Kluyveromyces lactis: one gene and its partners. Each later gene encodes a partner of the first gene's protein in a complex. Links are inferred from orthologs where the notes say so. Each region holds a gene or a part of one and is shown in the gene's direction. Other genes may lie near its edges.

Region 1 (5,008 bases):
CTGCCAATGTCACAGAATCCGACTGGGAAATATTCCAGCAGCAAGCATTTTTGCAACAACATCAAGCGCAGCAAAATTTACAGGCCTACCTTTCTTCATTAAATGGTGCTTTCGAGAATAACAATGCGCAAATGATGCAATCTGCCAATGGGATGGGGTCTCATGTGAATAATAGGACAGCAACTACTCTGCCCCCTCAACAAAATCAAAATTCATTAAATCCCATCACTCAGAATCATCCTTCACTGTTTAGTGGTGGTGCTGATAATAAAGCATCCGTAACTTCATCTGACATGTCTTCCCCAACCGGCTGGCAACACGGAAATGCAGACATTTTCCAAAAAAAGCAACCAGCCAACTTTGTAAAGTCTCCTAACACACCGTTGCACCCAATATCATTCTCCGTCGGTCCTTCACCCAGGCCGAACGATAATGGTATAATCTTCAATAATGGTACCCATACGATGATCAACAACATCTCCACATGGACCAACGACTCGGTTTTGGATTTGATGAACAGTAATCATTACGTAGATCCACTGAATGGAGGCAACAATATGGGCAACCTAAACGGATCTTTACAATCATCAGCGACAACAAATGATCAAAAGACTTTTGTCATGCCCAATCGAGACAACAATCCTGGCACTCTGAATAACTCCCTGAATTGGAGAAACTCTTCATTTACCAACATGAATATGAACTTCAATCAACCAGATAATCAGCAAGGTCAAAGACCACCGCAACAGCAACAACAACAGCAATTGGAAGCTATGTTGTCAGTTCCCGTTGAAGAATTTTGGACCGTTAACGACGATTATGGATTCCTCACTTGAAGCCTTCAATTCAAACGTTGAACACCTCTACAGAGGATATTCCCCGTAATTAAAGAAAAAAATACAACCATTTTTCATACTAAGTGTTAATGTCTTATGTTTCCGTCATTCCACAACATTTCGTTTTCATTCTACTCTTTCCTTTTAATTCAAAGAGTATTCACTCGTTTTTAGTTGTAATATATATCTAGCAAAAAAATTTGTGTTTACATACATTCTGCAGTTTAATTCGTTTCATTCCATTTTACCAACACACTTGCAGTAATTTAGCCAGATGTGACCTGATCCAAGTAAATAAATCTAGTCACGTGACCTATCCTGTTCCCTTTACCCTTTGTTTCATTCTGATATATTGTCGATCAGAAATTCTACATATTATTATTTCAACATCTACATAGTAAGGGAAAACAATCAGTTTAAGATAGGTGTTAGAACCCGACAAGCAGCAAGATTCTCACTAGAAACAGTACGTAACGACATTTGTTATCAAGATGTGTTCTCAAATCATCTTAGGTTGCCTTCAGCCCTCTCTTTACTAACTTTTCGTTATCAATATCTACCTCTACTCCCTCTGTACACCAATATGCTATTTCCTAGTTTCTCACTTTTTTCTCACTTTTTTCTGTAAGACATTAAAACCAGTTAACGTTTATTGAAAATCTTAGCAATTCAACATAAAGAAGAGTGTCCTGTCCAATGGTTACCGAGCAACCTCTGTTGGTATTCGGGCACTCATAACAGATATCGGGGGGCTCAAGCAGACAGTAACTTTTGACGTGTTTGTGAGAGCATTTTGTCTGTCCTTTGCATTGTCAAGAAATGACTCAATTGGAAAATGAGGTTCCAGACAAGGACCATCTTCGCTTTTTCTCACTAGGAGGATCCAATGAAGTGGGGAGATCGTGTCATATACTTCAGTATAAGGGCAAGACTCTAATGTTAGATGCAGGTATCCATCCGGCCCATCAAGGTTTAGCTTCATTGCCCTATTACGATGAATTCGATCTCTCCACAATCGATCTTCTTTTAATCTCACATTTTCATCTTGACCACGCGGCATCATTGCCTTATGTGATGCAACGAACGAATTTTCGTGGTAGAGTATTCATGACACATCCGACCAAAGCTATATATCGTTGGCTTTTGAATGATTTCGTCAAGGTGACCAGCATAGGAGACAGTCCAGGACAGGATTCAAGTAATGATAATTTATACTCTGATGAGGACTTGGCTGAGTCCTTTGATAGGATAGAAACTATTGACTATCATTCCACTATGGAGGTAAATGGTATTAAATTTACAGCGTTCCATGCAGGTCATGTTCTTGGAGCAGCGATGTTTCAAATTGAAATCGCTGGTGTTCGTGTATTATTTACTGGTGATTATTCAAGAGAAGTGGACCGTCACCTTAACTCTGCTGAGGTACCACCTCAGTCTTCGGACGTCATAATTGTGGAAAGTACATTTGGTACCGCTACTCACGAACCAAGACAAAACAGGGAAAGAAAGTTGACCCAGTTAATACATACCGTGGTATCTAAGGGAGGACGTGTTCTTTTACCGGTGTTTGCCCTTGGAAGAGCTCAAGAAATCATGCTTATATTAGACGAATATTGGCAGAATCACAAAGAAGAACTCGGAAACGGGCAAGTACCTATCTTTTACGCATCAAATCTTGCTAAGAAATGTATGAGTGTCTTTCAGACATATGTTAATATGATGAATGACGATATTCGTAAAAAATTCAAAGATTCTCAAACAAATCCATTCATCTTCAAGAATATTTCTTACCTCAAGAATTTGGATGAATTCGAGGATTTTGGTCCCAGTGTCATGTTAGCATCCCCAGGTATGTTGCAAAACGGTCTATCTAGAGACATTTTAGAAAAATGGTGTCCAGAAGAAAAAAATCTGGTTCTTGTCACTGGTTATTCTGTAGAAGGTACAATGGCAAAATATTTGTTACTAGAACCTGAGGCTATTCCCTCGGTACACAACCCTGAGATAACTATCCCAAGACGTTGCCAAGTGGATGAAATAACATTCGCTGCTCATGTTGACTTTAGGGAAAATTTAGAATTTATCGAGCTAATTGGAGCTAGCAACATCATTTTAGTTCATGGCGAATCCAACCCAATGGGTCGTTTAAAATCAGCCCTTCTTTCTAATTTCAGCTCTCTCAAGGATACTGAAAACGAGGTTCATGTTTTCAATCCTAGAAATTGTGTCTTTGTTGATATTGAGTTCAAGGATGTTAAGGTTGCCAGGGCAGTTGGGAAAATTATTGAAGATCTCGATGAGTTTATAACTGAAGAAGACGCACTAAAGAATGAGAAAAGAATCACGGAAATCCATGAAGAGGATCCAGAAACAGAGGAAAGTAAAACGGAAATTGTCAAAGAAGAAAATGAGAAAATAGTTTCAGGTATATTGGTGTCAGATGAGAAGAATTTTGATCTAAGTTTAGTTTCGCTTTCAGATTTAAGAGAACATTATCAACAATTATCTACTACAGTTTTGACAGAAAGACAGACAGTCCACTTGGACTGTAAAAGCGAACTAGTATATTGGCATATCTGCCAAATGTTTGGTGACGTAGATGTATACATTGACGAAGAAAACGTCTCATTGAAGAACATCAATCCCGAATTCAAGACGAGGAAGATAAAGAAGGGTGAACTAGAAATAAAAATCATGGGAGATGTAATATTAAATATAGTTGACAATGTAGCTACATTGCAATGGACTCAGAATGTTATCAGTGATTCAGTCGCGGATAGTGTCATGGCAATTCTACTGAGTGTCGAGAGCGCTCCAGCAAGTATCAAAATGAGTTCGAAGTCATGTGGACATCATCATGGACACGATGATCACACGACTAAAATTAAGAACATATCGAGAGTTTTCAAGGAACAGTTTGGTGATACTTTTACATTATTTTTGAATGAGGAAGACTCCAAAGAAGAAATAAAAGGCACTATCAACTTAGGAAAAACAACAGCATGTATAAACTTCTCAAAAATGGTTGTGGAAGAATGTAACTCTAATCCATTGAAAGGTAGAATAGAGAGTTTATTAAAAATTGGCTCCGACTTGGTGGCCCCATTGTGTTAATCTGTCTCATATATAGATATGATTATATATGAGCTAGTCATTAATCATCTTTTTGCATTAACTATATACTTTTCAACCCTATACTGCCATCTTGCCAAGGTGTTCCTCTGTACTAAATAATCTATTAAAACTTTAAAGATGCATTCAAGTTTCAATTAACTGAATGAACATATCGTTTTCGACAAGTTACAAAAGACACCAAGAGGACAAAAAACCATTTACTAAACTACTAAACGCGATATATATATATATATTCTCATTATAACAGTAAATTTTAAATCAATCTACCAATACCATGGCAAAATCAGAGCTACAGTGAGGTATTTCATTCACATTGCCAATCCAGAAGAGACAAGATAACTCAATCACGTGACTCATAAATCCTTTTGCCTGTGTAGTTTCTTTTTGCACCTCAAGAAAATTTTTGGGAAGCTCATCTCATCTCATCCAGAGTCTGAACGTACAAGAGCTGTAAAACAGGCTAAATGGGTCTCAACTATCAGCAGCATTAACCTTTTGATCGAAACTTACAACCGAGGTTATAGTTAAAGTGTTCGACGAGAGCTAGAGTCCAGAAAAACGCTTCAATATGGCTCAAACAAGCGCTTCCCAGGGATACATTGATGATTCTTCTTCTTTCGATTCGTTCCACTTGGATTCACGTTTATCACAAGCCATCCGCAGTATCGGCTTCAAACACCCTACTTTGATCCAATCCAGTGCGATACCATTAGCTCTTCAAGAGAAAAGGGATATCATAGCGAAAGCTAGTACCGGCTCTGGTAAAACTTTAGCATATTTGATACCAGTGATTCAAACAATTTTAGATCATAAGAAGGCAGATCAGAATGATGAAGGTGCCACTCTAGGGGTAATATTGGTCCCAACTAGAGAATTGGCTCAGCAAGTTTTAGAAGTTGTTGAAAAGCTCATTGTTTTCTGTTCTCAAGAAATTAAATGCTTAAATCTTTCATCGGGTAATGTATCGGGAAACTTATTGAAATCTTTACTTACCGAAAATCCAGAAATATTGATAGCTACGCCGGCCAAGTTAGTAG
Region 2 (3,744 bases), on another chromosome or scaffold:
ATCCACATTTGAATGCCTGGATCTTGACCGGTTGGTATAACTTGTATCAATTAATTGTGAATCCTCAACAAACGTACCTCTCGTTCTGTCGAGCATAGATCCTTGTTCGTGAACTTCCGCATACTCGTTATCGTAATCATAACTTTGATCGTACTCTTCTTCAGATTGTTCACCAACTTGTGCTGTCAGCAGTACCGATTGTTCTGTATGTTGATGATTATGATTTGACACAATAAATGAAGAGGAAGTTTGGTAGGCATTAAGTATTGGTTCTTGCCCTGAATTGTGTTCATTTTGTTGCTTGTTCTGTTTACTTCCCTTCTCCTTTTCGATCTCTTTTAGGGTTTTATCAATGCCAATAGGTCGCAAACTTGAGTAGCCAAGAGATCTTATCAGCAATAGTGTCGATTTATCTAGAATGTTAATGGTATTGGAATCAGACACATCTCCGTCATTATTGGCAATTAAAGGTTTCTCACTATGGCAAGTATACGCCGCAAGAGGAATCAATCTCTTCCCAGGCTTGATCCGTCTCTTGGTATCTTTATCAATGTTCCAACTCACCGGTTTCCCTTTTCTGCTTGTCTTGCTTTGCAGAAGCTCTTTTCGTAGATTGTTTATCAAAGGAATGTTATTGAAATCGGATGGTGCAGAAGGTTGTCTGAAGGCATCAAGGCCATACATAAACTCTCCAAGCCCCATATCTTACTTGTAAAGCCTACTGTCTCCAAAAATATTTTGTGAACAGCCTCTTAATGTCTGTTATTGCCATTGACACAGTGGTGTTTAACAGGACACAAGTAAATCATGATTTAAAGGTTTTATTTTAAAAGAAATAGAAAAAGCATCAACAAAAATAAGGAGAGCTGTACTACTCACCAATTACCAGTAGTTAAACGCCGGCGTCTTGATGGCATTCACTCCAGTTATCTTATATTTGATATGAATTGATAGAAGACACTAAAAAGAACTGAATATTATATATTAGTATGTATGTTTGAATAAACGTTATTGGTGTAACTACAGGTTACGCTTTCTTTCCATATGATCCAAGAACTTGTCAAAAGGAGTCTGTTTCCTAAAATAAGCACTTCTTTCAGCCATGTTAGCCAACTTATCGAATAAGTATTCTCCCCAGTCAAGATACCGTTTAATATAATTCTTCAAGTCAGACATTTCATAAGCGACAACATAATTGTTACTTCTACGCAATCCAGCCAATACCATAGACAACAACGCTAAGTCAATACTGTAATGAACTATATCTTTAACCTGATTGGAATTTGATAAATGCAGTTAAGATTACCTTTTAGTTAGTAAATCAAAGTCCGTTGATGAAAACGGTGGTGTATCTAACCACCTTCTTCAAAAAAATGAACGGTACGTACACCCATGATTCTTATTACAAATCTCAAATATGTCAGTTCTTTATAAAGCCAGAGTAAGACCAGAAAGGCTCTATTTCTCTACCTGCAAGTGACTAACACTATTGATTTCTTTGACAGATGTCATTACAATTTCGAGGAACATTTAAATTTAAATAAAACTGTTAACACCATCAAGAAATATTACCAATTTGGAGACAAAAAGAGAAGCTCAACGGGACACCAGCGGTTTAGCAACAGTTCTGTGATTATCTAAAAGTTAGCTGAGAAAGGAAATATGACTGTTAGCATTTCCAAGAGCAATCTTCTACGATTTGAGCCTGTGAAGTCCTTCAGAGTTTCTGATAAAGAATTGGGACCTATAACTTCAGTGACATTTGATGACCATGGCCAGTACTTGTTGACTGCAACTGCTAGTGATAATATGCATCTATATGATGCAGTAAGTTGCAGGTTTTTGAATACCATCGCTTCTAAAAAATACGGATGTCATTCCGCAAAGTTTACACATGCGCAATCAGAATGTATCTATTCATCCACTATGAAATCGTTTGACATAAGGCATTTGAATCTTGAAACAAACACATACCTTAGATATTTCCAGGGCCATGGTGCTCTAGTGAGCGATATACAAATGTCCCCGTTGGATGATACTTTTTTGTCTGCATCGTATGACGAATCGGTAAGACTTTGGGATTTGAGAAGCTCCAAGGCACAGGCCCTTATACCAAGTTTAGTCCCCACATGCATTGCTTACGATCCAAGCGGGCTTGTGTTCGCCATTGGTAACCCTGAGAACCATGAAGTCGGTTTATATAACGTAAAACATTTGAAGGCGGGCCCATTTTTAGTTATAAATGTGGATCCAAGCTTTGATCAGTGGAATAAATTGGAGTTTTCAAACGATGGTAAATATTTGTTGCTTGCGTCGTCCGCTGGAAAACATTTGATCATGGATTCCTTCGATGGTACACAGTTATTTGAATTATCAGGAACTAAACCTTTCCCATTGAGAGAGTTCATGGATTCTGGATCCGCAACGTTCACTCCAGATGGACGCATTACATTGGGAACTGATTACACTGGGAAGATCGCGATATGGAACCACGCAGACTTCATCAGTGGTAGGACGCTCAAACCTCAAGGATTTATTAACGCCGCACCAAATACATGTCCCAGAACTATTGCATTCAATCCTAAATATAGCATGTTTGTCACTGCAGATGAAACTGTAGATTTCTACGTATATAACGAATGAATTATACTGGGATCTGGATATATGACTTCGAAGCCAGACTCTACCCAGAGCACCCATCTATTTAGGAATGGCACTCGACATCTCGATAACATTTCCATGTTACCGATGACACAAAGCTGCCTTTTAGGTCTGGTCATCGCGACATTTAATCTTCTTTCATCTTTCAAGAACCCAACCTCGAAATTCTCGTTACTTCTTACTAAAGATAGGATGATGCACTCCTTTTCTCTACCTTGAAATCCGTCTACGGTAGATATCTCAATTGCTTGATGCTTTTCATGGATGAGTTTTTTCAACAGCGATACTTGTGAATTATACGGGGAGATCACACCAATACTTTCTTCCGTAACACCAGCCTTTATCAACTGCTCAACGTGGTATAATGCCAAATATGCTTCATTTTCGTTGTATTTTGAAGAGACTAGGTGGAACTTATCGTCTGCATCGTTGTCATTTTCATCAGACCTTTCTGGAAAGTCGTCTCCCTCAGTATCTAACCAAATACATGGGAAAGTAGTGTTGTCGTTCGATTCAACACCTGGTAAATCTGCTAGCAGTTGTTTCGCAACGGAGTCATCTGCTTTCAATTTCCCGTCATATAATTCGTTAGAAGAAAACTGCATAATTTCTTCGTTCATTCTGTACTGTACATTTAGCAAGTACTTAAATTCGTTGCCGTAATGTTGCAATAATCTGTCAAACACGGTAGTACTCAACAAGCGCTTTACTTTATCATTATCTTCAGTTTTGATCGTTGGAGGTAACTGCTTGTCGTCTCCAGCTATTATGAGTCTTTGCATATCTGATTTTAAATGTGAGATTAAAGGGATCCAACACTGAGGTTCTAAACTTTGTGAAACTTCATCAATGATCAAAGTATTGAACAATTTGGATTGTAGATCATACGCACTCAACAATTCTCGAGAACTTGAACCGTGTAAAGTGCAAACGACAATTTTGCTCTTTAAAATTATATTAATTAGCCCACTTTTCTCTCTCTGCCTCAATTCTTTTCTCAATGCCTTGACCTCCTGCCACCCTTTCTTGCGATCTCTTGAAGATTTGAGCTTTTTAACGCTAGCAATGGTATCATCAATCTCT
Region 3 (5,015 bases), on another chromosome or scaffold:
GCGAGGTTCTGTAGTGACAGCATGTTTGAGATTTTGAATATGATTGTATCAACGTAAATTGAGTTTGAATAAACCAAATCTTCCCATTCTGTATTCACTGGACACCTGTAAGACCTTAGGTTCCCAAAAGCACAATCGATGAACTTGACGTTACCCCAGACACTGTTACTAAATTCGACACATAGGGATCGAATGTTGCGGCATTTGATGTTCTTGAAATTGGCTTCTGAACACATTGGGGATGCCCTGATTGTCAAAGATTCTCTCACGAAGGATCCATCAACAAGATCCCTTTCAGTGTTACTATTGTAACTGACGAGAGTTAAATGGTCGCATGGTGGTAATACAACTCTCTTTCCTGGTGGCACTTGGAATTTTTCAATCGTTTTAAGCAGGGGACAGTATTGTAGATCATCGACTATTGTAGTGTTATCCTCACATTGCAATTGATTCACTGTCATAATCCTAGGTGCAATCACTTTCTTACCCCTTCTTATGTTCAAAGTGAACAGCGTTTCCACGTCATGTAAATAAGTAGTCTCAAATATCGTGTCGATATCAAACATGTCAACTTCCTGGTGATTAATATCTCGGTTGGCGAATATATGTAATTCACATAATCGTAGTTGGCTTTGACAATGGCTTAGCTCTCTGAAATAGAACTTGGAAAGGAAATTGGTAGTCGTCTTATACATGAAGCATAGATTCTTTAGAGTACCCATCCCACTTAGCCCTCTACTTAATTCACATAATGCCGTCGCCAATGGGTCACTGTAGCAGCGATCGGATACGATGACAATGAGAACGTTGTCAAACTTCCGTAGAAATTCGCTCAACACAGGAAACTTGAACGTATCTGTATTTACGCAAGCGGTGTTTCTCTCATCAGATAACAACTCATAATTGCAAGGATCTGCTAAGGTTTTTGATGATTCCCTATCCAAATCCCAAATCTTCAATACACCAAGCTTGCGCTTTATAATTGTTCTAAAATGTGAACCAACCTTACTCCATGCTAACAGACTCTCTAGACTGTCTAGTCCGCTAGTTACTACACGATCAATAATTTCGATCGGAAGACTCATTACTTTTGTACCCTTAAATCTTCTTCTCCTCCTTCTTATCATTAGCAAATCTGTCAAAAGTGTCAACTAATGCAGCTTATCTTGCACGTTGTAAACTAGGTCCTTATAATTCAACTGATTTCAAGTACGCTGGTATATCCAAGATGCCTTTAGACTTCTTCCAGTGTTTGGGTCAGTTGAGCAATCTGTTCCGTAATCTGTCGCTTTATTCTTTAATATGCTGACTCAACCTCAAAGAACGTTCGGAATACATTTTGACACTTAAAGTACCGATAAAATTGTGGATTTTGTTGCCTATAATTGTAAGCAATGAAATATGTTTGATATTCCACCTACTGGACCGTACCAACCTACAGATTGCAGCAGTATCTCGTCCAATAACAACTTCCCTGTCTCAGTTTGGCCTCTTAATCCTTCTTACTGACATTATATCTCATTACCCGGACATAACATGTCAAAATGATACTCAAGGCATCAACATTAAGTTCATTTAAACAGTACATGCAAATAATTGAAGAATGAAGGATAAAGGAAGAAGAAGAAGAGATTGCCGGCACTGAGGACACCTTTTCCTTTCCCATTCCAACCAGTGGATTCTCATTGTTTTTCAAATATAGAAGTAACTGTGCTCTCAAGATGACATACACCATCGAAACATGTAGGGATGAGAAGAAGCGGTTTGAGGGAACCATTGTACGATTCAACAATGTAATAGTATTATTGGACCCAGGATGGAACGGTGAAGGCAGTTATGAAGAATGTGAAGAGTTTTGGACGCAGTACATATCTGAAGTTGACATTGTTCTGATTTCCCAGCCCACAATTGAATGCCTTGGGTCCTATGCCATGATGTTTAAACAGTTTTTGCCTCATTTTAGGTCGAGAATTCAAGTTTATGGGACGTTACCTGTATCAAATCTAGGCAGAGTCAACAGTGTTGACCTTTTAACTTCAGTTGGGATATTAGGACCGTTTTCTAATGCCGTCATGGACCTAGAAGATATTGAAAGCTCCTTTGACTTGATTGAAACGGTGAAATACTCTCAAACGGTGGATTTAAAGAATAAATTCGATGGGCTCTCATTAGAAGCACATAACTCAGGGTATGCTCCCGGTGGTACCATTTGGACGATAATCACTTCATCAGAAAAAATATTGTATGCGCCTCGTTGGAACCATACAAGAGATACTATCTTGAATAGTGCGGACCTATTAGACAATACTGGAAATCCAACCAGTTCCATGATGCATCCGACTTCTGTAATAACCAACCTTTCTATTATAGGCTCAGCTGAACCTCAGAGGAAAAGAGTAGAACATTTCACTGATACCATGAAAAGAGCTATACAAATGAATAACTCTTTACTGGTACCAGTTGAAGTAGGAGGGAAACTATTGGAAGTACTAGTCCTAGTTAACAATTTCTTATATGAAAATATGAGGGGTGGATTGAAGTATGATATTCCGGTGTTTCTAATATCTTATTCAAGGGGCCGTTCTCTCACATATGCTAAATCTATGTTAGAATGGTTGTCCTCGCAAGTAATCAAGACCTGGGAATCTCGAGACAATCGGTCTCCATTCGATGTTGTATCTAGATTGAGGATTATTACTCCTGAGGAATTGGGAGGTTACACTGGGCAAAAGATCTGTCTTGTTTCCGAAGTTGATGATATTTTGTCACAAACGATAAACAAACTTTGCTCTAAAGATAAAGTAACGATCATATTGACAGAGAGACATCCAAATACCCCAGCACAACATCCCTTACGAAAACTTAATGATAAATGGCAACAAGCAATAAAGAATGGGAGTAGAAGTGCATTGGATGGCAACCCCATTAGCATATCTGATTCGATGTCACTTCGAATCATGAAGAGAACAATTTTAAACAAGAAGGATGCGGAGAAGGTGAGAGAAATGATTAAAACTAGAAATGAGGTAAGAGAGAAAATTATCGAAGAATATACGGCTAAGACCAATGACAAAGCTCAAACAAAAACAATACTTTTTGATGTTGATGATGAGAGTAGCGACGAAGAAGGTGTGGATTCAATGGATGCAAGAGGCAAGAATGGATCGGGAAACGTTAAAGTGGAGATTCCCGTAGATATTACTTCCAATGATAGTGTTTCCACAAATGAAAAGCACCTTATGTTCCCATTCCATCCAGCAAAGCTTAAATCTGACGATTACGGTGATGTGGTCAACTTAAAGAGATTCTTACCACAGGAAGAATCATATGACCAAGCACAATCTTTAAAGCAATCTTATAGTAATAACGATTATGATGAAGACGATGACGATGATACATATGAGGTACTTGATTCGCGGATTAATAAATCAAAGAAAAGAAAAACAGATCATAATCCTAGGAAACAAGAAAATAATGATGATATTTCTTACTTGGACCCATTGAAAAGTGACATTTATAAACGAGCAATTGTGGAAACAAAAGTTAACATTCGTTGTTCTTTGGTATATATCGACTTGACAAGCATAGTTAATGCGCGGTCGATAGCAATCATCTGGCCTGCAATCAAACCAAGAAAAGTCATTGTGCTGCCATCAGCTGCTCCTGTTGATAACCAAGTCGTGGTTAATCTAACAAAGAGAAATATTGACATATTGGTGACTGAGTTCAATAATTCGGTTGAGATGGATACATCTGTCAAGGCAATTGATATTTCTATCGATCCATCGCTCGACCAACTTCTAAACTGGCAAAGAATCAGTAAATCTTTCACTGTGGCACACGTTGTTGGTAAACTATTGACAGAAACTGACCCAAAAGCCCCACATCGGGAGAAGGTTATATTGAAACCGTTAAGCAACCCGTTAGCTTTACATTCTGGAAGTTCTCTAAGAATCGGAGATGTTAGACTACCGGAATTGAAAAGAAGACTAACTGCGGAAAATCATAAAGCTGAGTTCCAAGGTGAAGGTACACTAGTGATTGATGGCAAAGTTTTGGTTCGGAAGATTAATGATGCCGAAACCATAGTTGATGGTTCACCATCGGACGTATTTTACAAGGTCAAATCGGCAGTGTCAGACATGCTAGCCAACGTTTAAATTGTTCGCGGAAGCTTTCTATAAACGTGACATCGACTTAGATATTAATTAATTATAGTAATTTAGCATTGTAGTAAAGCATTTATAGATCAGTTGTAGAGCTGACCAATGGGGTATGTATGTCGGGATTCAAACATCTATTCTAGGTCTGGCATTCTTTATCTGGGGGGGTTAGAGGGCAAAAAATATACTCCGCGACGGGGAATTGAACCCCGATCTCGCACGCGACAAGCGCGAATTCTAACCATTAAACTATCGCGGATCTGTACTTGAGAAATAGAAAAACTTTGCACTACAGGTTCGCTCAACGGTTGCAGAACACTGATTTCGTTGGAACTAGTCATAATGCATGACCGGGTGATACCAATATAATAGGCGGTTAATGATAGTTTTGTGTCACTGACACATAGCAAAGTATATAAACCAGTACTCAGATCTAATCTACTAATTAGTAGGGATCAGATCTACAGACACCAGGTGCATCTAATTCTACTAGGAGATAGATAGCTAATCAAGATGAATTCTTCTAATAAAGATCTGACAAGATCTAAGCCACGTGACATGTACAGTCATATACCACAACAGGTAGCCCGAATATGAAACTCAGAAAATCCCGATATTCCACAAATACGACTCCGTGGCCAAGCTGGTTAAGGCGTGCGACTGTTAATCGCAAGATCGAGAGTTCAATCCTCTCCGGGGTCGTTTAATTTTTTTCCCCTTTTGCTATCTGTTGTTTTTTTTTCCTTTCCTATTTCTCACCTGTTGCAATTTTTCTGGAATTCCCGCTTAAAGATTCTTTTTTCCTCTGAGAAGTCTCTGAGAAGTTTTTTTTGTTTAAAGTTTTTCCCCTTC
Region 4 (3,290 bases), on another chromosome or scaffold:
TCCTATAATTTTCCCGCCCCTATACAAACTAACCTCACAACTGGACAAGAATGATCCGTTGAGTTTAGAGGATGGTGATAATGGTGAAGATCCGTACTTAATGGTCGAGCAAGCCATAAATTCCGGCTCATGGAATCGTGCCATTCATGCAATGGCTTTCAAAGCATTGAAAATTTTCCTTGAAACGAACAATGTCTTATACGAAAATTGCAACGCACTTTACATATCTAGTTTGAAAGAAAACAACAGACGTCAAAAAGAGAGGGAAATGAACTGGAAACAATTAGAGGATTACGTTTCGAAGTTGAAGATCGCAGAAAGTTGAAAAAAAGTGACCACTATCATCCTTACGGACTCACCATCACCAAATCATTATTATCGTCTTCATTATCATCATCATCACGGTAAAAGTTATGTATATACTTATATCTACGCGTCTTTTTCACCGAACATAGAATTGTTTCCGTATATATCAGTAAACGACAAATGATTTCCAACCCAAATAGGAGGCCTTAATTTACATATAAAATAGTAATAAAGGTACTACTTGACTGATAACTTGCCGCTTATCACTTTCTAACTGACAATTCTATATATTCTTTTTTATAATGACTGTCACCCAAATCCTATTCTTTTCAGCATGTTGGGTTTTGTATGATTCTTAAATTTCAACATCGGTTGAAAAAAAAGGGTCGCAGGCTCCATCGTCAGTATGGCTATATAAAGAAATATTGAGAAGTACGTGCAAATTGCTATTGAGTTAAGAAAACGACAATTCGTAGACAAAATCACTGTTTATAATTTAATCTTTCGATAACGAAGAAATTCGGTTAGAAATCAGTCTCATTTAGTTCAACTCAGAATTGTGTTTTATATCCTCGAGTGAAGACAGACCAATCGACATAATAGGTAAAGAATTAGGAAAGATGTTCAGAACAGCAGCAAGAAACCTTGGCGTGCCATTAAGAAGAAGTGTTTATGTTGGATTCAGCGGTAGTTTATTAGTCGGTGGTGGATCGTTGTTGCACTCGATGCAACCAAGCTCATATATCATGAACGATTCAATTGTTGATGTTAAGCAAAGAACGAATCTACCACAAGAGCTTGGATTGCCAAGCCGTGTTGATATAAGTTCGAAGCAAAGAAGAGTCAACTACAGACAAATGTGCTACGGGTCAATTTTAGGTCTAGTGTTCGGTGTTATCTTTGGTAAGATATCAAGTCTTCTCGTGTTCATCACCGGGGTTGGATTCGTTGGGTTACAATTCTTGCAGAACAGGGGAGTTATCAGCAGTGACAGCACTCGTTCTCTTTCCAAATACGTTGTGACCATCGGCCGTGAGAGGATTGATTTGAACACATTGATCTGGGACAAACCCAGCTTCAAAGTCTCATTCATCTTGACATTTGTGCTAGCTGCACTTAACGTCTGATTGGTTCCGAGAACGCTACCTTATTCAGTTCACGTGACTTTTTCTCATGTGAAAACCCAGAATATCCTATAACGTTATATTTAAGAATTAGTAAAATAATTATTGTGTGTAACTCGCTTGTAACATGATTAATTACCAATCATCAAAGACATTTTCATAAACGACTGGTAGGCTACATTAGACTGGGTTGTCAAGGAGATAAGGGAGTTTAAACTAATGAGTATAGTTCATCCAGATACCTCGAAGTACGAGTTTAATTTCGAGCCATTTCTACGGAAAGAATATTCGTTCTCGTTAGATCCAGATAGACCGGTATGCCAATACTATAATTCAAGAGAGGGGATAAAATCCTGTCCCAACGGAGCACGCTGTCCAAACAAGCATGTGCTACCGATATTTCAGAACAAGATTGTTTGTAAGCACTGGCTCCGAGGTCTCTGCAAGAAGAACGATCAATGTGAATATTTACACGAGTATAACCTAAGAAAGATGCCCGAGTGTGTATTCTTCACCAAGAACGGGTACTGTACACAATCACCGGAGTGTCAATACTTGCACGTAGATCACAAGAGTCAGTTAGAAGAATGTGAGGATTATAATATGGGGTTCTGTCCATCGGGACCTGCATGCACGAAGAAACATGTCAAAAAGGTACTTTGCCCCAGATACTTGGTAGGGTTTTGTCCACTGGGTAAAGATTGCGACTGGTCGCATCCCAAATTCAAAGTACCTTCAGAACACAGCAAACTGCGCATCAAGAAAGACGAGCATATTAATACAAGAAAGATGGATGAGGAAAGGGAAAGACGCTTGAATGCCATTATCAACGGTGACATCCTAGTCACGTGACTGAATTTTTTCAGTTTTCATCAGTGCGTTCGTTCTCAGCCACTGCTGCTGTCACTATTCACTATTCAGCTCACCATACGTAATTCGATACAGATACAGATACTAAGTAACATAATACTACACAATGTTACAGCCGGATAATTCTATCAACCGACAGCAAAAGCAACACACCTGAAAAATTAAGGGAACCAAGGCTCACATACCTTAAATTGCTTATCCAATAGGTATCAGACCTCTCAGCCAAAATCATTCGCTGAGTTTCATTTATGGACACGCGGTCGACATATTCCCCAGTATAGAACACTCCATTCCACAGTTTCTTTCGGTTTCTTTTTTTTCTTGCAATACTGATAAGCATTAACCCTGAGAGCGGACGCATGAATGTACACCAGGCAACAGCGTGAGTTCTTGAAGTCAGTTTTCTAATACACCTATAACTGGCACTAGCCAGCTACTGGGATGGCAGTCTCGCATCACAGCAAGGCTGTCGACCGGTACCTCTTCGTCACTTCGTCTCTCCTCTGCTGCTGTCTATGAACCAGCGAGGTTTTGCTCAAAATGGAAAATGAAATTTTCGACGAAAACAAACAGAAATAAAAAAAAGGGAAAAGGGTAAAAAGGAAAATTAATGGAAGCAAGGTTTTTCCAAAGCAACTTCCGGCCACTTTTAGGAGAATTGCCATTGCATTTGGTAATTTATTTGTATATATATATAACACTTCTATATTTAAAAGTAAGGTTACTATTGTGATAATAACACGCAAGCTATTAATATTGAACATACGCTCAGTTATATAGAGTTCATTTGATCGAGTAATAGTTAAAAAAAAAGATAAAGACACCATATATTACAACCATGCACAGAACATATTCTTTGAGGACTACCAGGGCACCAACTGCCTCTGATTTACAGAATCCACCACCACCACCATCTTCTACCAAGAGCAGATTTTTCGGTAAGGGTGGTTTAGCTTACAGTTTCAGAAGAAACGCAGCTGGTGCGTTTGG
Region 5 (4,773 bases), about 460 kb from region 1:
GTTCCATTACCTGATATATTTAATAATCCTCCAAAATTAGAGTGTTTCTTTGTGAAGCCTGAGCGCAGATTAATAATATTTTTATAAAATCTCAATATGGCCGTATATATATATAAATTGATGCAAGATGTTCGATTATCTATATATGCTTTTATTAAAGGGCTACGTGTATGAGAGTTAAACGTAACATGTAAAGTATATTTTCATTCACTTTAGGTTAATGAGGAGGGAATGCTAAATTTTCCCTATGAGCTACGTATTCACTATCAGCATAGCCTAGAATATCTTCAATCTGATCACTTTGCAGACCTTTAATTTTTGATAACTCTGTGCTTGTATAGTTGCAACGAGCCCTACCTACTGTTTTCAGTGCAACGGATTTATCCAAATTTCCATCTGAATCCCTGACTCCCAATTTTATATCTATACATTCATGTTCATGGAAGCTCCCTTGGACTTCAATAACGCCTGCAGGTAACAAACCAGCTTTGTTTTTCCTCGTTAACGCTTCGTATGCACCAATGTCTATAATTACAGCGCCTTGACTGACGAGTCCATGAAGCATCCAGAATTGTCTGTTCTTCAAGTGATGATGATTACTATTGGCAATAAACCTAGTATGAAGAGGAACATGATTATTAACTAAACTTTGCATCTCAGTGAGTTGTAGGTCAGCCAAATCTTGTGTAAGTTCATTCACGCCATCGTCCCTTTCCTGCATGTAGAGAACAATTTTGGAAATGTTTTCTGGAGTGTCGCTCTTCATAATGATGGTATGGACACCAGCATTGGTTGCTAATTCTGCCGCAATAAGCTTAGTCTTCATACCACCAGTTCCAACATCTGATCCAGATCCACCGTCTGTGTTCACACCTGGCAATCCTTGTGATATATCTGGAACAACCAAGATAGGTTTTGCATCGGGATTTGCTCTTGGATTATCAGTGTATAAACAGTCAACATCTGTCAATAAAAATAGATAATCAGCACCAGTCAACGCTGCTGTGATAGCTGATAATGTATCATTATCACCAAATTTGATTTCGCTCACAGATAAAGTGTCATTCTCATTAACGATTGGCACTACTCCCATGGAAAGTAATTCACTAATAGTATTCTGTGCATTCTTATACTGAGTCCAATCAACAATGTCATTTCGAGTAATTAGGATTTGAGCAATTCTCTGATCAAATTCAGAGAACAAGGAATCCCACCTCCCAATTAATCTGCCTTGGCCCACAGCTGCGATTGCTTGCACCTTGGATAGTTTCTTTGGCCTTCCCTTCATATTCATCGTTTTCAATCCGACGGCGATACCTCCACTAGATACAATGATAACTTTGTGTCCTCTTCTGCGTAACTTTACCACAGTCTCCACAATCAATGACATGATAGAAAGTTTTGGTTCTTTGGTCTCTTCATCAACTAGTGATGAAGATCCCAATTTTATGACTATGACGAACTGCTTTACCATCTGAACTTGTTGGAAAACGTTCTTCTTCTCGCGGTCCGTAGAAACCTTTGGTTACAGAAATTTCAGGCCAGATTGACTAATAGCTGCTGCTCACAGACAGTACACTATGTTTATATCTGTTTTGCAGATGCAGTTATTCATCTTTTCAAATGGTCTGCAGATGTCATCGAAACATTTACTTTCAGTTTCTGTGAATTTTTAAATATTCACCGGTTCTTCAAAATATAGGTAACTATCATTACTAAGAACACTGGAAACAGACGAGCGTAGGTGGGCATACTAGCACTCTTCAGTCACACCTGAATCTGAAACGTTTAAATATCGGGGATAGATAATAAATGAACGTTTTTGACGAGATATTGCAACCCACTGTGGTTAATAAATGCTTACATGGGAATTTTACGTCAGCGGAAAGGGAAGAATACGTTGTTGCAAGAACCAATGTTCTCTCTGTATTCAGGGTCTCGCGAGCACAAAAGCTTGTACTTGCATATGAATGGAAACTAGCAGGTAAAATCATAGATATGCAATTACTGCCCCAAATTGGATCGCCTCTTAAGATGCTTGCAATACTTTCGTCGAAATCCAAAGTATCGTTGGTAAGGTTTGACCCAGTGGCAGAGAGTCTTGAAACACTAAGTCTGCATTATTATCACGACAAATTTGTCAATTTAAGCACTTCTTCTTTGAAGACGGAGTCCATTATGGCAGTGGATCCATTGTTTAGATGTCTTCTGGTTTTTAATGAAGATGTTTTAGCTATATTGCCATTGAAACTGAACACAGAAGATATGGAAATTGATGAGGATGAGAACGGAATAAAAGAGCCAATGGCTAAACGCTTAAAAAGGAACCAAGGAATCACATCCGATAGTATAATAATGCCAATTTCTAGCCTTCACAAGAGTCTCAAGCATGTCTATGATATAAAATGGTTAAATAATTTCAGCAAGCCAACTGTGGGAATATTATATCAACCGGTACTTGCGTGGTGTGGAAATGAAAAAGTACTTGGAAATACTATGAGGTACATGGTTTTGAGTTTAGATGTCGAAGATGAAAAAACCACCGTGATTGCTGAGCTTGCAGATCTTCCGAACGACCTGCACACCTTGGTTCCACTGAAGAGGGGATATGTGTTGATTGGTGTCAATGAATTATTATATATCAGTGCATCTGGTGCACTACAATCGTGCATACGATTGAACACATTTGCAACGTCTTCAATCAATACAAGGATAACTGATAATTCTGACATGAATATCTTTCTATCAAAGAGTTCAATATATTTCTATAAAGCTTTGAAAAGACATGATTTGCTTATTTTGATAGATGAAAACTGCAGGATGTACAACATTATTACAGAATCAGAGGGTAATCTACTTACCAAATTTGACTGTGTACAAGTACCGATTGTTAACGAGATCTTCAAAAATTCAAGATTGCCGTTGTCGGTATGTGGTGATCTCAACTTAGAAACTGGCAGAGTTCTTATAGGTTTTCTCTCAGGTGATGCAATGTTTCTGCAACTTAAAAACTTGAAAGTGGCATTTGCAGCAAAACGACAACTTGTTGAAACTGTTGATGACGATGACGATGAATACAGTGCACTTTATGGAGAGTCTCAAAATAATACTCACACCAGAATCGTCGAAACACAAGAGCCTTTCGATATATCATTGTTGGACTCCATTTTCAATATCGGTCCTCTAACATCTCTTACTATTGGTAAGGTCGCATCTGTTGAACCAACTATTCAGAGACTTCCCAATCCTAACAAAGATGAATTCTCAATTGTAGCTACATCTGGAGTTGGGAGGGGATCTCACCTCACTGCATTGCATTCCACTGTCCAGCCCCACATAGAACAAGCCTTAAAATTCACAAGTGCGACCCGTATCTGGAATTTGAAAATAAAGGGAAAAGACAAGTATCTTGTGACTACAGACGCTGATAAAGAGAAAAGTGATGTATATCAGATTGATAGAAATTTTGAACCTTTTAGGGCGCAAGATTTTAGAAAAGACAGCAGAACCATCGGCATGGAAACTATGGACGACGATAAACGTATTTTACAGGTAACTTCAGGAGGATTATATCTATTTGATGTTGACTTTAAGAGGTTAGCAAGATTAACTATTGATATCGAAATTGTTCATGCGTGTATTATTGATCCATATATTCTATTCACGGATGCTAGAGGTAACATCAAAATTTATCAACTAGACTCTAAAAATAAAAAAAAATTCATCAAATTTAAGCTTCCAGAGGCTCTCAATGAAATTATCATCACATCTGGTTCCATTTTCAAGAGTAACATTTGCAACAAATTCCTACATGGATTGGAAAACTCTTCACAAGAACAGCTTCTCTTCACATTTGTAACGGGCGACAATCAGGTTATTTTCTTTACCGAAAAGCACAATGACAGGATATTTCAGTTAAATGGTGTCGATCAGCTAGAAGACATGCTTTTTATAAGTACGTATCAGATTCCTGAAGAAATGAACCCGGACCCATCAATAAAGCAAATCATGTTAAACAGATTGGGCCATCATAAGAAAGAAGAATTTCTAACTATTCTTACGTTTGGTGGGGAGATCTATCAGTACAAGAAGTCGACAAAGCACAGCGGTAAACTCTTAAAATGTAAATCCCATCCTCTAATTACCGGTGCTCCTAACAATGCATACCCTCAAGGAGTTAATAAAATAGAAAGGGTTGCTCATTACTTCCCTAACTACAATGGATATTCAGTAGTATTTATTACTGGTCAAGTACCATATATCATAATCAAAGAAGATAATTCGGTATGTCGGATATTCCGGATGACTAATATACCTATTGTCACAATGGCTAGGTGGGGTAAAAACTCTGTGATGTGCGTAGATAATATTAAAAATGCAAGAGTAATGAAATTAGATCCTGAATGTTATTATGGGAATACTCAGATTCTTAGAAAAATCATTATTGAAGATGTTGTTGAGGAATTTGAAACTTTAGGAAATATTGCGTACCATGAACGGACCGGAATGTATATCATCTCCTATACCAAATTCATCGAATATCAAGCTCTAAGTGAAGATGGTGAGCCCCTTGTAGGTTACGATCCAAGCAAACCAAATAGTACTGGGTATAAATCTGGACTTCTTTTGATCAATCCACTCACGTGGAATATCATTGATCGGCTTGACTTGTCTGAGAATTCCATGGTAAACGACATTAAAACCATGCTCATTCAGTTGAACTCAAAGACTAGAAGAAAGCGGGAGCTGGTCATTATCGGAAGTTCTTTTGTA
Region 6 (3,910 bases), on another chromosome or scaffold:
TTCTGCCACATCAGTTCCCATATTAGGAAACACTGAAGTATCGACGCTCAATTTTATTGTTTTTGGGACTAAATGGTTCCTCCTTGGCTTTGCAAAAGTGACTTCAATCAATGCAGTATGATCCGGCCATGGGGAACCATCATCTTCTGCTTCCATATTCGTGACATCAAGAATCTTTGCGTAAGGAATAACCGTATTTGAAGGTAGCAGCAGAGCTTCATTCTCATCTTTAGATTCCGTGTCGCTGAGACAAGTAACACAACTGATTAACGAAGCTGTTTCAAAAACACTAGATTGGAAGCTCCCAGAAGCATCGCCGTCTTCGTCATCCTCGTCATCGCCGAAATCACCTCCATTACTTCTGCGTGCCAAAAGCGTCGATGAGCTTGTTGAAGGACCGGACGTAAATTGATCTTTAATCAATAAACCATTTTCGCCAATGATGGCTCTTGTATAGGGCAAATGATACTTCCTGCTCAGCTTACTCATTATTCTTGCAGCCCTCTGTTTCCTTTTTCTCAGATGAAGGGAAATATCTGAATCAGACTCTGATCTCTGTTTGGACCACAACAGTTTTGGCAACTCAACAAGAATAATTAACTACCTCTTTTCCACCTTTACGTGAAAATAACGCAAAACAAAATCAAAAAAAAAGAGACTGATTCAAAATTGAGATACAGTCAAACAAGATCAATGACTATGTCTTCTGTTATTCTCTGATGAATCCTCTTATCAATACCTAGCTAATAAATCACAGGGGGTATGTTTTCGGGATGACGGATATATTACTGTTCCTTTCAGTTCAGTTCGATTTAATTTGATATATCTAACTTGAAAACGGAGAACACCAAATCGTTGTCATAAATATGATAAATGGAAACGTTTCTTGGAAATGATAATAAAGTATAGTACTATCCACCAGTTAAACTAGAATTCTCACAGACAAATTCTCTAAACAAATTTCCTAGGTTCACGATGCTTATATAAGAACCGATGCGCAATGCTTTTTTTATCAGACTGTCTTCTTGTCTAGATAACAAACCACGAGAGTAGATCCTTAGAACAATTTTCTTAAATAGTAGAGGCTTGATTAACAATACTCTGGCTGATATTGGATGTGGACAGAACAGTTTCTTATTCATCAATCATATCTTTACGTTTTAACTTCGAAGGCTTCCTGATTTTCGATTTCATGTAAATCTAAGAAATACAAAACAAAAGAAACATCAGTTGGCACGTGATATATAATCAATTATTACCCGGATATTGTTCTTATATGAATGTTAACTTAAAAAGATTCTAAGCATCGTTAAAGACTAACGGCCATACTAATGAATTAAGAAATCTGCTGTCGACTAGAAAGAATGAATATGTAATTATGTATGTTCGTAACGATTCATTGTGAGGCAAAATAATACTAGTTACTAGACACCAGTCAGATATTTGCGATAACAAGTTTGCAATTTAGAGAATACATATATATATCGAAACGGTGAAATACTCTTAAGTTGGTTTCTAACTAAACACAGTCAAAGTATGCATGACCCACAGAAGGATCCTCGTACTAGGAAAAGCAGGCATGAACTGACCCCGCACAATCTTTCATCTACCATACGTTTTACTGACATACCTGCTCAGTGGAACAAGGATAACTTCACATCTGTGATAACTGGTTCTGGATATATAGTTGACGTTAGAGAGAAATACGTGGATGAGGTCGAAGAAGCAGGAGAACGAGAAGGGGGAAAAGGAACTGGAGCTGGAGCTGGAGCTGGAAGTGAAAGAGGATGTCTTGAATGGGTAGATGTAGATTTCAGGGACTCTTCCTCCGCCAATAGGGCCCAAAATTCAATAAATAAGATAAACCATTTCCCATGTAGGATGTCCATGGTGATTCCCAAAGATTGGAAAGAAAAGTTAGAGAAAATAGACCAACTGAAACCGTTAGAGTTCACAAGAGACAATTTTCCCTGGGATTACAAATTAGAACTACCGTTTGAAATGGTAAGTGAGGTACCTTTACCAAGAAAGCCGTTGCCGGTGGTGCAACCAATAACAAGTGACGCAGGAAGCACACTATCCTCGGAGAATAACACTGCATCTACGAATGCTGCCTCGGATAACCTTGCCTCGAAGGCGAACGAGGCACCGGCACAGCAGATAGAGATCCCAGAGATCTTAGCACGGGCATCAAAGCATCTACCAGCATACCAACCGGGCTCGATGACTGCACCGGATGTGGTATCTCAAAATCTATCGAAGATTCCTACGTTACAAATGATCGAGATTCTATCAAACTTGAAGATCTTAGCCAACCAGCATAACAAGAAGCCACAACTGGAACAATTCTTGAAGACTAACATTGACTTAACGGTAGCTGTCACTCAGGCAATGCTAGAAATGGGGTTGATAAACTATCACGTGATATCAAATGTTCTAGGCCAAATGCAGGGCCAACATTCTGTTGGACCCACGCCTGCCGCAGCCGCGCCTACAGTACCAACTCTGCCGCCAGTTCAACTACCTGAGCCGTCTGTACCCCAGACGGCTCAAGGCATTAACAGCGGTGGTAACGGTACTGGTGGTGATATTACCACCACCGCTACAACCAACGCTGCCAACACCCCACAGCAGTTCAACGAGGCAAAACTTTCGCTACTGCCGCAAGATCAACAGAACATGATCAGAACTGCGCTTTCGATGCCCATAACGAACATAATGGCTCTTCCACCAGGCCAGCAACAACTAATACAGCAACTCAAAAACGACTACCTTCTATAGATAATAATAATAGCAATAACAAGAAAAATACATAGCACAATTCCTATCTCTTAGTCATCCATAATGGCTCGAAGGCTTTCTTTCTATCTATAGTGTATACCACCGTGTTTCCCAACCTAAAAGTTCCGCGCGCAAGTTTTCCTCTTTAACGACTTGGCTCATACAGGAAACTGAAAATGGAAAAAGCTGAAATAACCGACATTTCAAAACAGGAAGATGTCAAATGCATGCGGCGAAATGAAGGGAAACGAACGTCGAGGGAAATGTCTAAGGAAAGCGCAAAGGGAAAGAAATGCCGAAACGATTGGGCTACTATTCGAATGTTTTGGCGGTAGCTGCCGCCCTCCACAGCAACACGGAGCACTTTGTGTCAGGATCCTTTGGAGAGATTAGATAGATATTTGTTTATGTGCGTGTGTAAAAAGAAAAACTTGTCAAGTCCTCTCTTGCAGTAATCCGTTTCTGTTTTCAGTATGTTATATCAGGTATCATCAGTGCCGATCTGAGCTGATAAGGAAGGAAGGAGGAAAGGAGGGAAGGAGGAAGAGAGGGCAGAAGAGGTTTCCGTCGCAGTTTCACCGACCTATTCGTTAAAATACCTATTCGCTGCTCTTAATTTTTTGAATGGCGCGCGGATAATTACTACAGCGTAAAACACTGTGCTTATTGAGCTTAGAGATCAATGAAAAAAAAGTGCTTATGAAATTAAAGCAAGGCGATTCTTAAAGGGAGCGCGGGACTATACAGATGAGGTGCACATGAATCATGGGAAAAAAAATCGTATATAAATCCATGGGTAGATTGTTCTCTCTGAACTAGAGGAACCAGTTTCTATAATTTACATGTTGTTTGTAATTGTGTTTTTAGTTTACACCCAGTCCACAAGCACAGAGTAATCATTTGAATTAGGAAAAGATGTCCGTTGCTGCTAAGTACTACCCAAACGAACCAACTGAACCAAAGGTCGTTACCTCAGAGATTCCAGGTCCTGAGTCCAAGGCTAAGGTCGCTTCTCTAGGAGAAGTTTTCGATTCTAGACCAGCTTATTTCGTTGCTGATTATGCCAAGTCTTCTGGTAACTACATCGTTGACGTTGACGGTAATAAATTCTTGGATGTTTACGCCCAAA
Region 7 (3,817 bases), on another chromosome or scaffold:
CAAATCGCGACATGTTTGGTATTATTCGTGATGTTTGGTATGACGGATCAAGTGAATGGATCTTTGATGCCTGTTATTACTAAGTATTACAATGTCACCGAGCTTCAAATGTCGATAGTGTTTTTCCTTCAATTGATGGGCTATGTGTCGGCATCGGTCTTAAATGATATTTTGCATAAAAAATGGGGGTCTCGAGGCGTAATGACAGCATCATGTATACTTGCTGCATTTACCTACTTGGTTCTTGCCCTAAAACCATATTCGCTCTATCTTTATGCGATATGCTTCTTTCCGCTAGGTATGTGTGTTGGGTTTGTTGACTCTACAGGTAATTTCTACTTTGGTAATTTAGAGACTAGAAAGAATGAATGGATGGGTTTGCTTCATGGAATATACGGGTTGGCCGCTGGTGTAACCCCACCATTAGTTACAACCTTCGATCATTATTTGGATTGGTCTTATATCTTTTGGGTCCCTTTGGTGTTTGCTCTTGTGGGGTTGGCACTCTGCATGGGGGCCTTTAAATACGAAACTGCTACCAAATACAGATACATCTGTGTAGGAGTCCCCGATGAATCAGGTGGTATTGAAAATGAGGAAGAGATAAAATGGTACCAGTTATCGAAGTATCCTCCGATGATTTTCTTGTATGCATTTTTCTTATTCTTGTACTTAGGTACAGAAATTGGTGTTGGGACATGGCTATTCACATATTTGTTGAATTATAAGAAAGGTGAGAAGTTCCTTATGTCATTTGTTACTGCGTCATTCTGGTCTGGGATCACTATCGGTAGATTAGGTCTTGGTTTTGTTACAAAAAGGTTCAAAAATGAATACAGGTCAAGCGTTTGGTACGGTTTGACTTGTTCATTGTTTTTTTTCCTATTCGTTATCATCAATCTAATCAATTCCACATCGACATTCTATTTCTTTGTTTTATCGTTGATGATCTTTGGCGCTGGTATCTTCATAGGTCCCTTGTTCCCTAACGCAAGTGTTGTTGCAATCCAAATCCTACCGAAACATCAACAAGTTAGTGGTATTGGTACAGCAATCGCTTTCGGAGGGTGTGGTGGTGCATTAATAACATACTCTTTTGGGTTTGCAAACAAGATTTTTGGGTTCCAATACTATCCATTTCTATGCTTCCTTGGTTCTTTGGCATTCAACATAGTTTGGATGCTCTACCCGAAAATTATCAAAGGACATAGAGAGTACTTATAAATTACTCAAGCTCAACAGATATGAATATCGTGCCGCGCATGGAAATTATTTACTTATATATAATAGGGGAATCGCTCCTACTTCTTAACGGACATATGTATTTTAAATCCATACTACAGAAGTAATTGAATCAGCTTCATTCTTATGCTTAAGGTCTGCTGCACGTGATCTATTTTTTTTTCTTTACTTGAAGCAACTTCAACATCGAGCTGGCATCAAAAACTACCGAAATCAGAATATTACTTGCATTTAATGATATTGAGAGGTAGGAAATGCATAAAACATGTATCAAAAGACACGGCCAACGTTTCACATTACGAAACTTAGGTGAACTACTATTCATACTGTTCTCAGAAATTTCAACACAGCCTGGTCTCAGCTTGAAAAAGACATAGCATGGATCCTAATACCGAGGGCACCACAACTAAAAAGTATACATCGCAAAGACGAACAATTGACATTTCTGCATCTTATGATAGACTATATTTCTTGAAGAAGCATGGCCAGGAGAATTCGTCATATATAGAGGCAGAAACCTCATATAATGCTCATATACTACCGCCAGATGCCTATGGTTTTCATGGGCATGCCATCAATACAGCAACCAAATTTACGCATCTTTCATCAAATAAGGTAAAGCACGTTATTCCGGCTCTTACGTGGACGCCAGAAGGAAGAAGGTTAGTGGTAGCTACATACAATGGAGAGTTTTCATTATGGAGTGGATCCAGTTTCAATTTCGAAAGTATTATGCAGGCTCATGATAGTGCAGTAACCGTGATGACATACTCACATACAGGGGATTGGATGGTTAGTGGTAGCGCTGATGGGGAGCTTAAGATCTGGCAACCAAACTTTAATATGGTTAAAGTCATGGACCAAGCACATATGGAATGTGTAAGGGAAATATCGTTTAGTCCGACCGACCAGAAGTTTGTCAGTTGTTCTGATGATAATGTGTTGAAAATATGGAACTTTAGCAACGGACAACAAGAAAGGGTGCTATCAGGCCATCATTGGGACGTCAAATCATGCGACTGGCATCCGAAGATGGGTTTAATCGTATCAGGATCCAAAGACAATCTTATCAAATTCTGGGATCCGCGTAGTGGTAGCTGCGTATCCACCATGCTTGGTTTTAAACATACTATCATCTCGACGAAATTCCAACCCAAACAGGGAAACTTACTATCTGTAATTTCGAAGGATAAAACATGCAAGGTATATGATATACGACAACAGGCTAAAGAGCTTTTCAGTGTTCGTGATGATGTCGACTACATGACATTACAGTGGCATCCAATCGATGAAACAGTGTTTACCGTTGGATGCTATGATGGATCTATAAAACATTTCGATCTATCCCAGGAAAATCAGCCAAACAAACCTACACACAACATTCCATATGCACATGAAAAATGTGTTACATCATTAGCATATAGTCCAATTGGTCACATCATGGCTAGCGCCTCGAAAGATAGGACTATTCGATTCTGGACGAGATCGAGAGCAGTCGATCCAAACGCCTTTGATGATCCAACATATAACAATGAAAAAGTTAATGCTTGGTACTTCGGTATCAATAATAACATTAATGCTGTCAGAAACAAAACAGAACACGGTGTTGCTTTGCCACCAAGTGAAGACTCCAATAATAATGAAAATGGCGACGGTTCCAGATCAGTTGAACCTGAGCGACCATCTGTCAGTACTTTACCAGGTTTGGGATCAGGATTACCAGGCCTAAGTTTTTAAGACAATTGAAAGTCATGGAAATTATAGCATCAATATTATTTAAGCAGATTAAATGTAAATCTACCTTTTCTTCATCATTAATAAGTAGACTGTATCGATTGAATAAACTAAAATAGAGGTTAACGAGTAAAATACTATACTAAATAGGTAAAAAAAGAATCAGTAGTTGTTGAATATATAAAAGTGTTAAAAAGAACCGAGAAATAAAAACAAAAAAGTGTTAGGAGGTCGTTACAATTCCAGTCGCTTAATCAACTGGCGGTCAAAAGGTCATTAAATTTATAAGATATCATTTCGTCATTAATATTTTTTTTATAATTGGTGTATCAATTGGCAAGGAGCACTGGCATTCAAACTCTAATAAATATAGCCAAATCATATGGTATAAGAGATTACAACGTTTGTAGATAAGTATCATTGATACTTTCGTGCAACGTCATTATATTGGATTTTCGGACATTTTCATCTATGGCATCAGATCTATCACGGGAAGAGGATGGTTGAGGAGAAGTAGGGGACGATGTCCCATACTTCAAAAATTCGTTAGCCTTTTCGATGTATCCGTATCCGTACATTTTAGAATAATTCTCCATGAAATATTCCATTGTATTGATAAGTTCTGCTGTATCGGAACAGTATTGCGAGGGGAAGTAGTACATATTACTATCGTCTGCAGAAAATTGTCCTGCGTTCATGATATGGAAAAAGAATAAACCGAAATTTGGATTGTGAGAACCTTCGTTCACTCTTGCATTTTCTTTGCAATAGTGGTCGAATTCGCTTCTGCTGAATTGAACAAACTGCGAATGATACTGTTGTAATCTTTTTGCGAAATCTT

The links.
Region 2: YSH1 (region 1) and SWD2 share a complex: the UniProt entries of both Saccharomyces cerevisiae proteins name them as parts of the cleavage and polyadenylation factor (CPF) complex. The link is inferred for Kluyveromyces lactis from reciprocal best matches to the Saccharomyces cerevisiae genes YSH1 and SWD2.
Region 3: YSH1 (region 1) and CFT2 share a complex: the UniProt entries of both Saccharomyces cerevisiae proteins name them as parts of the cleavage and polyadenylation factor (CPF) complex. The link is inferred for Kluyveromyces lactis from reciprocal best matches to the Saccharomyces cerevisiae genes YSH1 and CFT2.
Region 4: YSH1 (region 1) and YTH1 share a complex: the UniProt entries of both Saccharomyces cerevisiae proteins name them as parts of the cleavage and polyadenylation factor (CPF) complex. The link is inferred for Kluyveromyces lactis from reciprocal best matches to the Saccharomyces cerevisiae genes YSH1 and YTH1.
Region 5: YSH1 (region 1) and CFT1 share a complex: the UniProt entries of both Saccharomyces cerevisiae proteins name them as parts of the cleavage and polyadenylation factor (CPF) complex. The link is inferred for Kluyveromyces lactis from reciprocal best matches to the Saccharomyces cerevisiae genes YSH1 and CFT1.
Region 6: YSH1 (region 1) and PTI1 share a complex: the UniProt entries of both Saccharomyces cerevisiae proteins name them as parts of the cleavage and polyadenylation factor (CPF) complex. The link is inferred for Kluyveromyces lactis from reciprocal best matches to the Saccharomyces cerevisiae genes YSH1 and PTI1.
Region 7: YSH1 (region 1) and PFS2 share a complex: the UniProt entries of both Saccharomyces cerevisiae proteins name them as parts of the cleavage and polyadenylation factor (CPF) complex. The link is inferred for Kluyveromyces lactis from reciprocal best matches to the Saccharomyces cerevisiae genes YSH1 and PFS2.

The regions. Positions count from the first base shown.
Region 1 is NC_006039.1:418,533-423,540, reverse strand, and holds YSH1 (cleavage polyadenylation factor subunit YSH1), read left to right. Parts: upstream 1-1,655; coding exon 1,656-3,950; downstream 3,951-5,008. Other genes in the region: KLLA0_C04620g (uncharacterized protein), read left to right, coding at 1-836; DBP9 (ATP-dependent DNA/RNA helicase), read left to right, coding at 4,540-5,008. UniProt on the Saccharomyces cerevisiae protein: Component of the cleavage and polyadenylation factor (CPF) complex, which plays a key role in polyadenylation-dependent pre-mRNA 3'-end formation and cooperates with cleavage factors including the CFIA complex and NAB4/CFIB. Has endonuclease activity.
Region 2 is NC_006041.1:1,606,709-1,610,452, forward strand, and holds SWD2 (WD-repeat containing protein SWD2), read left to right. Parts: upstream 1-1,662; coding exon 1,663-2,643; downstream 2,644-3,744. Other genes in the region: MND2 (Mnd2p), read right to left, coding at 1-702; MCO12 (Mco12p), read right to left, coding at 1,021-1,272, 1,389-1,394; ATP-dependent 5'-3' DNA helicase HCS1, read right to left, coding at 2,625-3,744. UniProt on the Saccharomyces cerevisiae protein: The COMPASS (Set1C) complex specifically mono-, di- and trimethylates histone H3 to form H3K4me1/2/3, which subsequently plays a role in telomere length maintenance and transcription elongation regulation. Involved in mediating RNA polymerase II termination.
Region 3 is NC_006041.1:1,062,241-1,067,255, reverse strand, and holds CFT2 (cleavage polyadenylation factor subunit CFT2), read left to right. Parts: upstream 1-1,721; coding exon 1,722-4,160; downstream 4,161-5,015. Other genes in the region: KLLA0_E12035g (uncharacterized protein), read right to left, coding at 1-1,085. UniProt on the Saccharomyces cerevisiae protein: RNA-binding component of the cleavage and polyadenylation factor (CPF) complex, which plays a key role in polyadenylation-dependent pre-mRNA 3'-end formation and cooperates with cleavage factors including the CFIA complex and NAB4/CFIB.
Region 4 is NC_006042.1:760,316-763,605, forward strand, and holds YTH1 (cleavage polyadenylation factor RNA-binding subunit YTH1), read left to right. Parts: upstream 1-1,649; coding exon 1,650-2,282; downstream 2,283-3,290. Other genes in the region: protein phosphatase 2A regulatory subunit RTS1, read left to right, coding at 1-325; FUN14 (Fun14p), read left to right, coding at 927-1,433; lipid-binding protein PIL1, read left to right, coding at 3,139-3,290. UniProt on the Saccharomyces cerevisiae protein: RNA-binding component of the cleavage and polyadenylation factor (CPF) complex, which plays a key role in polyadenylation-dependent pre-mRNA 3'-end formation and cooperates with cleavage factors including the CFIA complex and NAB4/CFIB.
Region 5 is NC_006039.1:880,345-885,117, reverse strand, and holds the start of CFT1 (cleavage/polyadenylation factor CFT1), read left to right. Parts: upstream 1-1,812; coding exon 1,813-4,773. Other genes in the region: PIH1 (Pih1p), read left to right, coding at 1-87; PRO1 (glutamate 5-kinase), read right to left, coding at 218-1,474. UniProt on the Saccharomyces cerevisiae protein: RNA-binding component of the cleavage and polyadenylation factor (CPF) complex, which plays a key role in polyadenylation-dependent pre-mRNA 3'-end formation and cooperates with cleavage factors including the CFIA complex and NAB4/CFIB.
Region 6 is NC_006042.1:1,903,941-1,907,850, forward strand, and holds PTI1 (cleavage polyadenylation factor subunit PTI1), read left to right. Parts: upstream 1-1,536; coding exon 1,537-2,781; downstream 2,782-3,910. Other genes in the region: KLLA0_F20504g (sphinganine kinase LCB4), read right to left, coding at 1-489; UGA1 (4-aminobutyrate transaminase), read left to right, coding at 3,697-3,910. UniProt on the Saccharomyces cerevisiae protein: Component of the cleavage and polyadenylation factor (CPF) complex, which plays a key role in polyadenylation-dependent pre-mRNA 3'-end formation and cooperates with cleavage factors including the CFIA complex and NAB4/CFIB.
Region 7 is NC_006041.1:644,146-647,962, forward strand, and holds PFS2 (cleavage polyadenylation factor subunit PFS2), read left to right. Parts: upstream 1-1,620; coding exon 1,621-2,979; downstream 2,980-3,817. Other genes in the region: BSC6 (Bsc6p), read left to right, coding at 1-1,224; PFK27 (6-phosphofructo-2-kinase), read right to left, coding at 3,372-3,817. UniProt on the Saccharomyces cerevisiae protein: Integral and essential component of the cleavage and polyadenylation factor (CPF) complex, which plays a key role in polyadenylation-dependent pre-mRNA 3'-end formation and cooperates with cleavage factors including the CFIA complex and NAB4/CFIB.